2 linked regions of the Canis lupus familiaris genome follow. The protein of the gene in region 1 interacts with the protein of each later gene in a biochemical or structural test. Links are inferred from orthologs where the notes say so. Each region holds a gene or a part of one and is shown in the gene's direction. Other genes may lie near its edges.

Region 1 (4,073 bases):
GGGCCAGGGCCAGGATTATGGGGGGCCAGTAGAAGACAAACCAGAGGAGTCCTTGGTAAGGGCTGAGGATAGAGGCTCCAGAGCCTGGGGTGGGGAAACCTGGGGATCTGGGTGATCCAGTGGCAAAGCAGACCTGGTCAGAGAGGGATGCAGAGATGAGTGCAGGGCTGGCCTTTGCAGCCAGGAAGGTTGTGGGGTCTTTGCTGTCCCAGCCCCCCTAGTACTGCCTTTCTGGTTGAAACCAGGACAGAGACCCACCACTGGCTGTCCAGCCCCTGCCATGCTCCCCCTTCCAGGCCCCTCTGGGAACCACAAGAATCTGGGACCTGGTGTCCTGGCAACGTGATGAATGCACGCACAGCTCTGGTATCTGTTTTAAATTATCCATTAAAATAAGTACAGTCCTGGAAAAAAAAAAAATAAGTACAGTCTTGGAGTTGGCAGGGTGGGATAGAAGGAGTAGAAAGGGGAGGAACCAAGGCAGCCTCTTTTTCCAGTTGCTTGAGTCTGAAGGAAGGGGGCAAGGGATGGGGTGAGTGCCTGGGTCCCACTCTTGGCTTTCTGTGGGGGCATGTAGCTTGGCACTTGGGCCTAAGACCCAGTGCTTGGTTTTGAAGGGCGAAGTTGGAACAGAAGACAGGAAAAGAGGGACCTCAAACTTCTGGTCCCTGCCCCAAAACCGAGGGCTAAAGGAACTCAGGACCCAGAAACTCCCTGCAGCCTGGCTCCCCAGGGAGCCCAGGCATTCCTTCCCCACCCCACCCTGGCACACAGAGATGCTGCTTTGAATGGGCTGCCCACATGTGGAGGGGGGCAGGGGTGACTCACTATTACTATGGGAAGGAGAGGGGGAGCCAGCGGTGGAAGGAGAGTGAGTCACCCCATGGGCACCAGCCTCAGCCCTCCCCCACCTTTCCTGGATCTGCCGGCCTGGCGCTTTCTCTCTTCCTCCTGCCCTTTGCCCACCCACCCGCACCCTTTGGCTCGGCCTTCTTCTACACAGGAAGGCCCGAGTCCGAGGGGACAAGCGTCGGGGCTGGACCGGGAGCCCGGAGCAGGCGGAATCCAGGAGGGAGAAGCCCCAGGCCCGGCGGGTGCGCAGGGCGGGGTGGAGCCCCACTCAAGCCGCCGCCCCGCGGGGCTCGCCCTTCCCCACCGCCCCCTCGCCTCCCGCTGCGGACGTGCGCGGCCCCTTTAAGAGCGGCGGCCCCTCCTCCCACTCCCTAGACCTATTAGAGCCGCTGCCCCGCGTCGGTGACTCAGAGTGTCCGCGGGAGCGCCGCAGCCACAGCCGCGCACCCAGATCCCGAGGTCCGACAGCGCCCGACCCAGACCCCTCGCCTGCCAGGAGCCCGCCGACAGCCCGCCGGCCCGCGCGCTCCCACCCCGAGCGGTCTCTGCCCTCTCCGGGACCTCTGCCCCGCGGGCAGCCCTGCCACCCTGCCGGCCATGGAGACCCCGTCCCAGCGGCGCGCCACCCGTAGCGGGGCGCAGGCCAGCTCCACCCCGCTGTCGCCCACCCGCATCACCCGGCTGCAGGAGAAGGAGGACCTGCAGGAGCTCAATGACCGCCTGGCGGTCTACATCGACCGTGTGCGCTCTCTGGAGACGGAGAACGCGGGGCTGCGCCTTCGCATCACCGAGTCGGAGGAGGTGGTCAGCCGCGAGGTGTCCGGGATCAAGGCCGCCTACGAGGCCGAGCTCGGGGATGCCCGTAAGACCCTCGACTCGGTGGCCAAGGAGCGCGCCCGCCTGCAGCTGGAGCTGAGCAAAGTGCGGGAGGAGTTCAAGGAGCTCAAAGCGCGGTGAGTGCGCCCAGGTGGTGGCGCGGGGTGGGACCGGAGAGGGTGGGCGGACAGTCGCCCTGGTCCCACAGCAGCCGGCCCATAACTCGGCCTTCCAGTCCCCTCCCTCCCCGGAACTGCCCCAGCGGGTGACTGGCAGTGCCAAGGGAAACTGTCAAGACAGGACTGAGAAGGGAGGGGTCTCTGGGAGAGGGTGGTGGATATAGGGAACGGTGGGGTCATCGGGGCCACGCAAGGACTGATGGTAGGCCCACAGTCTGTCTGGGTGGGGGCTGCCAGCCCTTTGGAGCTGAAGGCAGGGGCCTGGGCAGAGGACGGCTGGCCCTGCTAAGTTCAAGAAATCTGGACACTCAGGACACATTGAAATGGGTGAAATGGTCCTGTTAAAACTTTCTTGGCTGACTTGGCAGTGTGCCAACTTTGCCCAGACTGTCTCTGGACGCATAAGCACCCATGCTGGCGGGCGTTCAGTGGTGCTGGAGAGAGGTTACCAAGGCAGGGACGTGGAGGGGACCTCCTTGGCACAACTCTTTCCAGGATTCTAAGAGTTGGGAAGCTCTCCCTCACTACTTGCAGGTCTGGGACCTTTCCTGGGCTCTGACAGGCCCTCTAAACAGCTTGAGGAGCTCCGCTCCCCCGCAGCTCCCACAGCCCTTGGCCTTCTTGGCCCAGGAATGCAGGAGAGGGAGGGAGACCGAGGGCAGAGGCTCCCGGCTCAGGCTCAGGAAGTTGTGTTATACCCAGGTCTGGTGCACCCCCTTGGCCCTCTGCTTGGTGTCTTGGACATTGGGGGCTGCTTCTCCTGGCCTGTCTGCTTGGGGTGAACCACTTTCATTTCCTGGCCAAATCTGAATAATCTTTGCTGTGGCCCATCCACTCAGCCACTGAAGGTTTTTTGATCTTCGCCTTATGAAACTGCTGGAATAGGTGACATATTTGAAATCCAGCCGTTGGCCGCTTGAGGCCCCTCCTACCTCACCCATCCCAGCCCCACCCTACCCCACCCTACTTGACTCCACCCTCCTTTCTAAAAAGGCCTCTGGATCCTGGAAGTTCAGGCCCTCTTTTCCTGGCCCCTGAAAATTTGTTTTCCTCTTCTCTGTTACCTCTTTCTCTATGAACACCCAAGCCAGAGAGCACTAGGGTGTTTGAGATCCCTGGGACAGGAGGCCCCGTGGCTTGATGTCCCCTCATTCCCCCCCTTTCAATCTTCTTCTCCAAACTCTTGCTCTCCTGGGAGCCTCTATGTGTCCAGTGAGCTTTCTGCCCTTCACCGGCCAGGCCCCTGGCCCGGTGGGCGTGGGTACCCATCCCCTTGGGAAGAGTAGGTGGAGACAGTACACACAGACAGGCTGACTTTTTGGAGACACCATGGAAGGAGATCACTCCCGTCTTTTTGCAGTAGTGATAGGAACAACTGAGCTAGCAGGACAGACAGGAGGCAAGATGGGGGCGGGGGCAGAGAATCTATGTCAAATTAGTCTGCTCAGTGACCAAATCCCCCCACTGCTGATTCCTGTGACGAGCTTTCTCAGCAGGTCTTTCTTTGGGGAGGACATTGATCGGAAAACGGGATGAGTAGACTCTGCGATCTCTGGCTAGCCCCACCACGCCAGGTTGTCTGTCTCTGCCTCTGGCCTAGTGCAGCTGTCCAGGCCTGGGCCGCCAGGCGGGTATGTGCGCACGTGGGGCAGGGGCGGGGGTGGTGTGTGTGTGGACTGGTTATATTTAGCCATCTGCCTCTTTCTTCCCCTGTGATCCTGGCTGGGGAGGCTGGGCTTCTGGGAGAGGGGGTGGGTCTGCACACCTGGATCTCAGGCTGCTGGGAGGCAGGGTGGAGACAAAGGGGACTTCAACTGGGGTGTGGGTCCCCTTCCGTGTCTCCAGTGGGAGGCCCCAGGATGGGCTGCTGCTTTTTATGTCTGCTGTGCTCAAGGTGAAGCAGAGAAGAGGAAAATGAAGAACTTGGGAAAGGAAGAAAAGCATTGTCGTAACTCCTCGCACTAAAGCCTAGAGAGAAGGTGTCCTCTGGTTTAATGTTTAATTAGAGCTCAGAGTTCAGGGCTGGGCTTCTGGTTGGGATGCAGAACTGTCTATGAGATCCCTGTGGCAATCCCCGGCCCAGCCTGGTACCTTGACTACACCCAGGGCTTTCGGGCGCCCTCTCATTGGGCTGGGTTATAGGCTCCACGCAGAAACCCCCCCCCCCCCAGTACCCATACACACGTTCAGTCTATTCCAGAGTCTGAAGCATTTGGACCCTAAGTG
Region 2 (4,048 bases), on another chromosome or scaffold:
CCCTGAGTTGGCTTCATTTAGAATATGATTGTCACCACCTTTCCAATCCCCCCAGAACAGCTCTTTGCGACCAAGGCCTTCACGAATTCCTAATGACAGTGCAGGCTCTCCACGGCCTTGCAACCTCGCGCGCTCACCCGCGAGTACGCCGGGGCCCCCTGTGCTCGGCTCACCCCGGGGCCCACCCAGGCCCAAGCGCGCAGAGCCGGCCCAGCAGGTCGTCGGGGGCTTGAAGGCTCCCCGCCCCCCCAGGCTGCCACGGGGACGCCCTGGACAGCAGAGGAAAGCCCCGACGCCCCAGGTGGCTGGCGCGGGGGTCGGGCGCACGCTGGCCGCCGCCCGCACGCCGGGCTCGGCCCCCTGCCAGCGCCCACGGGCACGCCCAGTGCCTTGCAAGGATGCCCGCTCCTGGGGTGCCCGCGGCCTCCTGGCCCAGTGCCCCATTTCCTCCCGGGCGCAGTGGGAGGGAGGGAGGGAGGGAGGGTGGGAGGCGCTGGGGACCTGCGGGACGACGGGCGCAGGTGGAGAGCGGAGCGGGGCGGGGTGGCACCGGGGGCCGAGGCGGCTGCTGCCCGGGCCTGGGCCCCGCGGCCCCGAGGGCCCGCTCTCGGGATCGGGGTCCCTTCGCGCTGCGGCGGAGGCGCGGCCGGCCCGGGGCGGCCGGGGAGCGCGGGGTGCGGAGGGGGCAGGGGGCTGCGGGGACCGTCGGAGCCCGCGTGACTCAGGGAGCGCGAGCCGCGCCCAGCGCGTCAGTCCTGCGCCGCTTTCCTGTCCTGGCCGGTTTCTGCCGGTTCGACTTGCGTAGGTCCCCACCCCCGCCCTCCCGACCCCGACACGCCAGCCGGTGACGCCTCGACCGCCCGCCCCGCCCCGCCCCCACGTCGCGGCGAGCCCACGCTCGTCCCCGCCCCCGCAAGCCCGACTCCTCGCTCGAGCCCCGCCCCTGCGCGCCAGCGCGTGACGCCCCTCGGCCGGCGGGCCCCGCCCCTCCGGAGCGCGGCCCCGCCCCGCCGCCGCCGCCAGCCTATCCCGCCCGCTTGCGACGTCTGACGTCATGACGCCCGCCCCGCCCGCTCCCACGGTCCCCCGCTCCGCGCCGGCGCCGCCGGCCCGGCCCCGCCCCGCCCCGCGCGCAGTCCGCAGAGCCCGCGGCCGTGACGCGAGCGTGACGCAGGCGTGACGCGAGCGCTGCCGCTCCCGAGACGCTCGCGCCGCCCCCGCCGTGCTCGGAGGCAGCGGTAGCTGGGCCCGCGTCGCCAGGCCCGGGCCCCCCCAGCTCCCCGCCGCCCGCCGCCCGCCAGGCCCGGGCCCCCGGGTCCCCGCCGCCCGCCATGGACGACTACGCGGTCCTGTCGGACGCCGAGCTGGCCGCCGTGCTGCGCCAGTACAACATCCCGCACGGGCCTGTCGTGGGTACGCGGCGGCGAGCGCGCCCCCTCCCCGCCCCCCCCCCGGGGTCCGGCCCGCGGCCCTGACGCCCCGCGTCCCGTGTCTGGCCAGGTTCCACTCGCAAGCTCTACGAAAAGAAGATCTTCGAGTACGAGACCCAGAGGCGGAGGCTGTCGCCCCCCAACTCGTCCGCCTTCAATTTCTCCTATCGGTTCTCGGGTGAGGCCCCCGCCCCGGATCTCCACCTGGCCTCCCAGGGGGACGGGGTTTGGGCGACGGGGGGCACGGGGTCCGGAGGGTGTGGCAGGGGCGGTGGCTGGGAGGGGCACAGGAAGAAGGGAGGGGAGCCGGGGGCAAATGGTCCCGCCCCCCCCCCCTCAGACTTAGATTCGGCATCCGTGGACTCGGATATGTACGATCTGCCCAAGAAAGAAGACGCCTTGCTTTACCAGAGCAAGGGTAAGGCTGGGCGGGCGGGGGGGGGGCACCCTGGGGGGGGCACCCTGTCACCCTTACCCCCTCCCTCAGGGAGCCTGGTGTTGGGGGGACCTGGGATCTCAAGCCCGTCATCCTCAGCAGCCCCAGAGGGGAGAGACGGTGCCACAGGCTCCCACGTGGGACTGAGATTAGGGCCAGGTGGGCGCAGCCACTGTGCACCTTGCTACCGCTCTCCCCCCCTTCCCAAGGCTACGGCGATGACTACTACGAGGAGAGCTACCTGAGCACCAGGACCTACGGGGACCCTGAGCCTGTGGGCTCCTCCAAGGGCTTCCGCCAGCCATCAGCTTCACTCGCAGATTCGGACACCTTTCACCACCAGGTGAGTTGGCTGCCGAGCACCTGCATACAACCTGTGGGGGTCATAGCTGGGCTTGGACAAAACCTGGACGGGGGGGGGGGGGGGGGGGGGCGCACGCGGTAGGCCCTGTGCTTCCCGAGAGGCAAGGTAAGTGCACACCTCCCTTGGCAGGGCCGTCCTTGGGGGAGTGTCAGACCTAACACTAGGGCACCTGGGACGCCGTGCACCCTGACCTGGGATCTAGGTTTGAGATCTTTCTCAGACCCCCCGGGGCAGAAAGTAAGGTGCAGGCGGCCAGGATACCTGTCGAGTTGTGGAGCGGGTGACAAAGCCCTACCGGGCTAAGGCTGGTAACTCAGGAGGGTTTTGGAGGGAACAGGGTCCGGGTGTTTCAGCTAGGCTAGTTTGCAGTGAGGACGGGACAGGCTACAGGCTGCTGACTCTGCTGGCCAGTTCCCCTCTCCCTGACTGTTACCTGCAGGTGCGCGATGACAGTCTCTTCTCTTCTGAAGAGGACAGCAAGGACAGGTGAGTGGCAGGAAGGGCCAGGCAGCGGGTGGTTCTGGGCGCAGGCCCCCTGGCTCACCTGCTGTCCTCTGCCTCAGGGAACGCTCCGGGTATGGCCGGGACAGCGCCTACCAGAACATCGTGCACTACCGCCCTGTTTCCAACATCTCCAGAAGCTCCCTGGGCCTGTCCTATTATCCCACACCCTCTTCCACCTCTCCCATATCCTCATCTTCATCTTCCCCCACTTCGTGGCTCACCCGTCGTGCTATCCGGCCAGAAAAGCAGGCCCCTGGGGCTGGTCTGGGCCAGGACCGCCAGGTCCCACTCTGGGGCCAGCTGCTCCTGTTCCTGGTCTTTGCTGCCTTCCTGCTCTTTGTTTACTACTCCATGCAGGCTGAGGATGGCAATCCCTTCTGGACGGAGCCCTGAGGGGCTGGCTTCGTGGCCAGCTGTTCCCGGAAGTCCTGGCTGACTGCCTTAGTAGTGTCTGCTGGGGGAGGGGGTGGGGGCTTTTCTGTGTGTTCTAGCTTCGGTGTGCTGGGCTTGGCCCAGGGCAGTGCTTGCTCCCCTGCCTCGTTCTGCCCAGGAGGTGGCAAGCCCAGGCCCTCCGCGGCATGGCGGGCCCGGGCAGGCCTTCCTCTGGAGTCTCCTGGTCCTGCTTGCCTCTGATCCAGGGCCCAGGAGGGTAAGACCCTTCTCCTGGAGAGGAGAACATGGTTGTTGTCATTGCATGCCTCCTGTCTGTTGTCACCTCGTCGGGGGGGATTAACCCAGGCCACCCTGACTTTGTTTTCGTGGACACAATAAAAAGACCATTTATTTTTAACGTGTGGGCTCTCTTTGCTGGGAAGGACTTGGGCTGGGAGCCTCCAGGCCTTGGGTCTCCACGAGCAACATCTGGCTTTGTTCGCTCTCCCTTCTTGCTTTGGGGTTGGGGTAGGGATCGCATGCTACCCACGGGCACGTTTGTGCTTTACTGGTAGGGTTTGCTCCCTGACTCGTGACCCAAAGCTGCTGTAACTAGGCAAAGAAGCGTGCCCCCACGGGATGCAGAGAGCTCCCCCATAAATGCAGGTGAGGGTGCGTGCACAGCACTGGCTACAGATGTTCCGACAGGGAGGAGCCGACAGCCGGCCTCAGTACCCAAGGGCAGGTGGACAGGGAGGAAATGCGGCGAGTGGCGGGCTCCTCCCGGGCGGCCGCTTGTCCGGGGGGGGGGAGAGGCCCACAGGATGCCGCATCACCCCTGTGTAAATCCCACCCCTCACCTGCCTATGTTCTTGCTTATCTCCAGGTTTTCTGTGCGGGAGGCGAGCACCTCCACCTGCAAAGTACACACGTATTATTTAC

The links. The genes of interacting proteins can lie anywhere in the genome.
Region 2: the proteins of LMNA (region 1) and EMD form a complex in vitro, tested with the Homo sapiens proteins (4 studies listed by BioGRID and IntAct, with this or other methods). The link is inferred for Canis lupus familiaris from reciprocal best matches to the Homo sapiens genes LMNA and EMD.

The regions. Positions count from the first base shown.
Region 1 is NC_049228.1:41,702,066-41,706,138, reverse strand, and holds the start of LMNA (lamin), read left to right. Parts: upstream 1-1,237; 5' UTR 1,238-1,449; coding exon 1,450-1,805; intron 1,806-4,073.
Region 2 is NC_049260.1:123,237,299-123,241,346, reverse strand, and holds EMD (emerin), read left to right. Parts: upstream 1-1,242; 5' UTR 1,243-1,331; coding exon 1,332-1,413; intron 1,414-1,500; coding exon 1,501-1,608; intron 1,609-1,770; coding exon 1,771-1,848; intron 1,849-2,075; coding exon 2,076-2,209; intron 2,210-2,642; coding exon 2,643-2,716; intron 2,717-2,793; coding exon 2,794-3,127; 3' UTR 3,128-3,524; downstream 3,525-4,048. Other genes in the region: collagen alpha-1(I) chain-like, read left to right, coding at 100-459, 522-848. UniProt on the Homo sapiens protein: Stabilizes and promotes the formation of a nuclear actin cortical network. Stimulates actin polymerization in vitro by binding and stabilizing the pointed end of growing filaments. Inhibits beta-catenin activity by preventing its accumulation in the nucleus.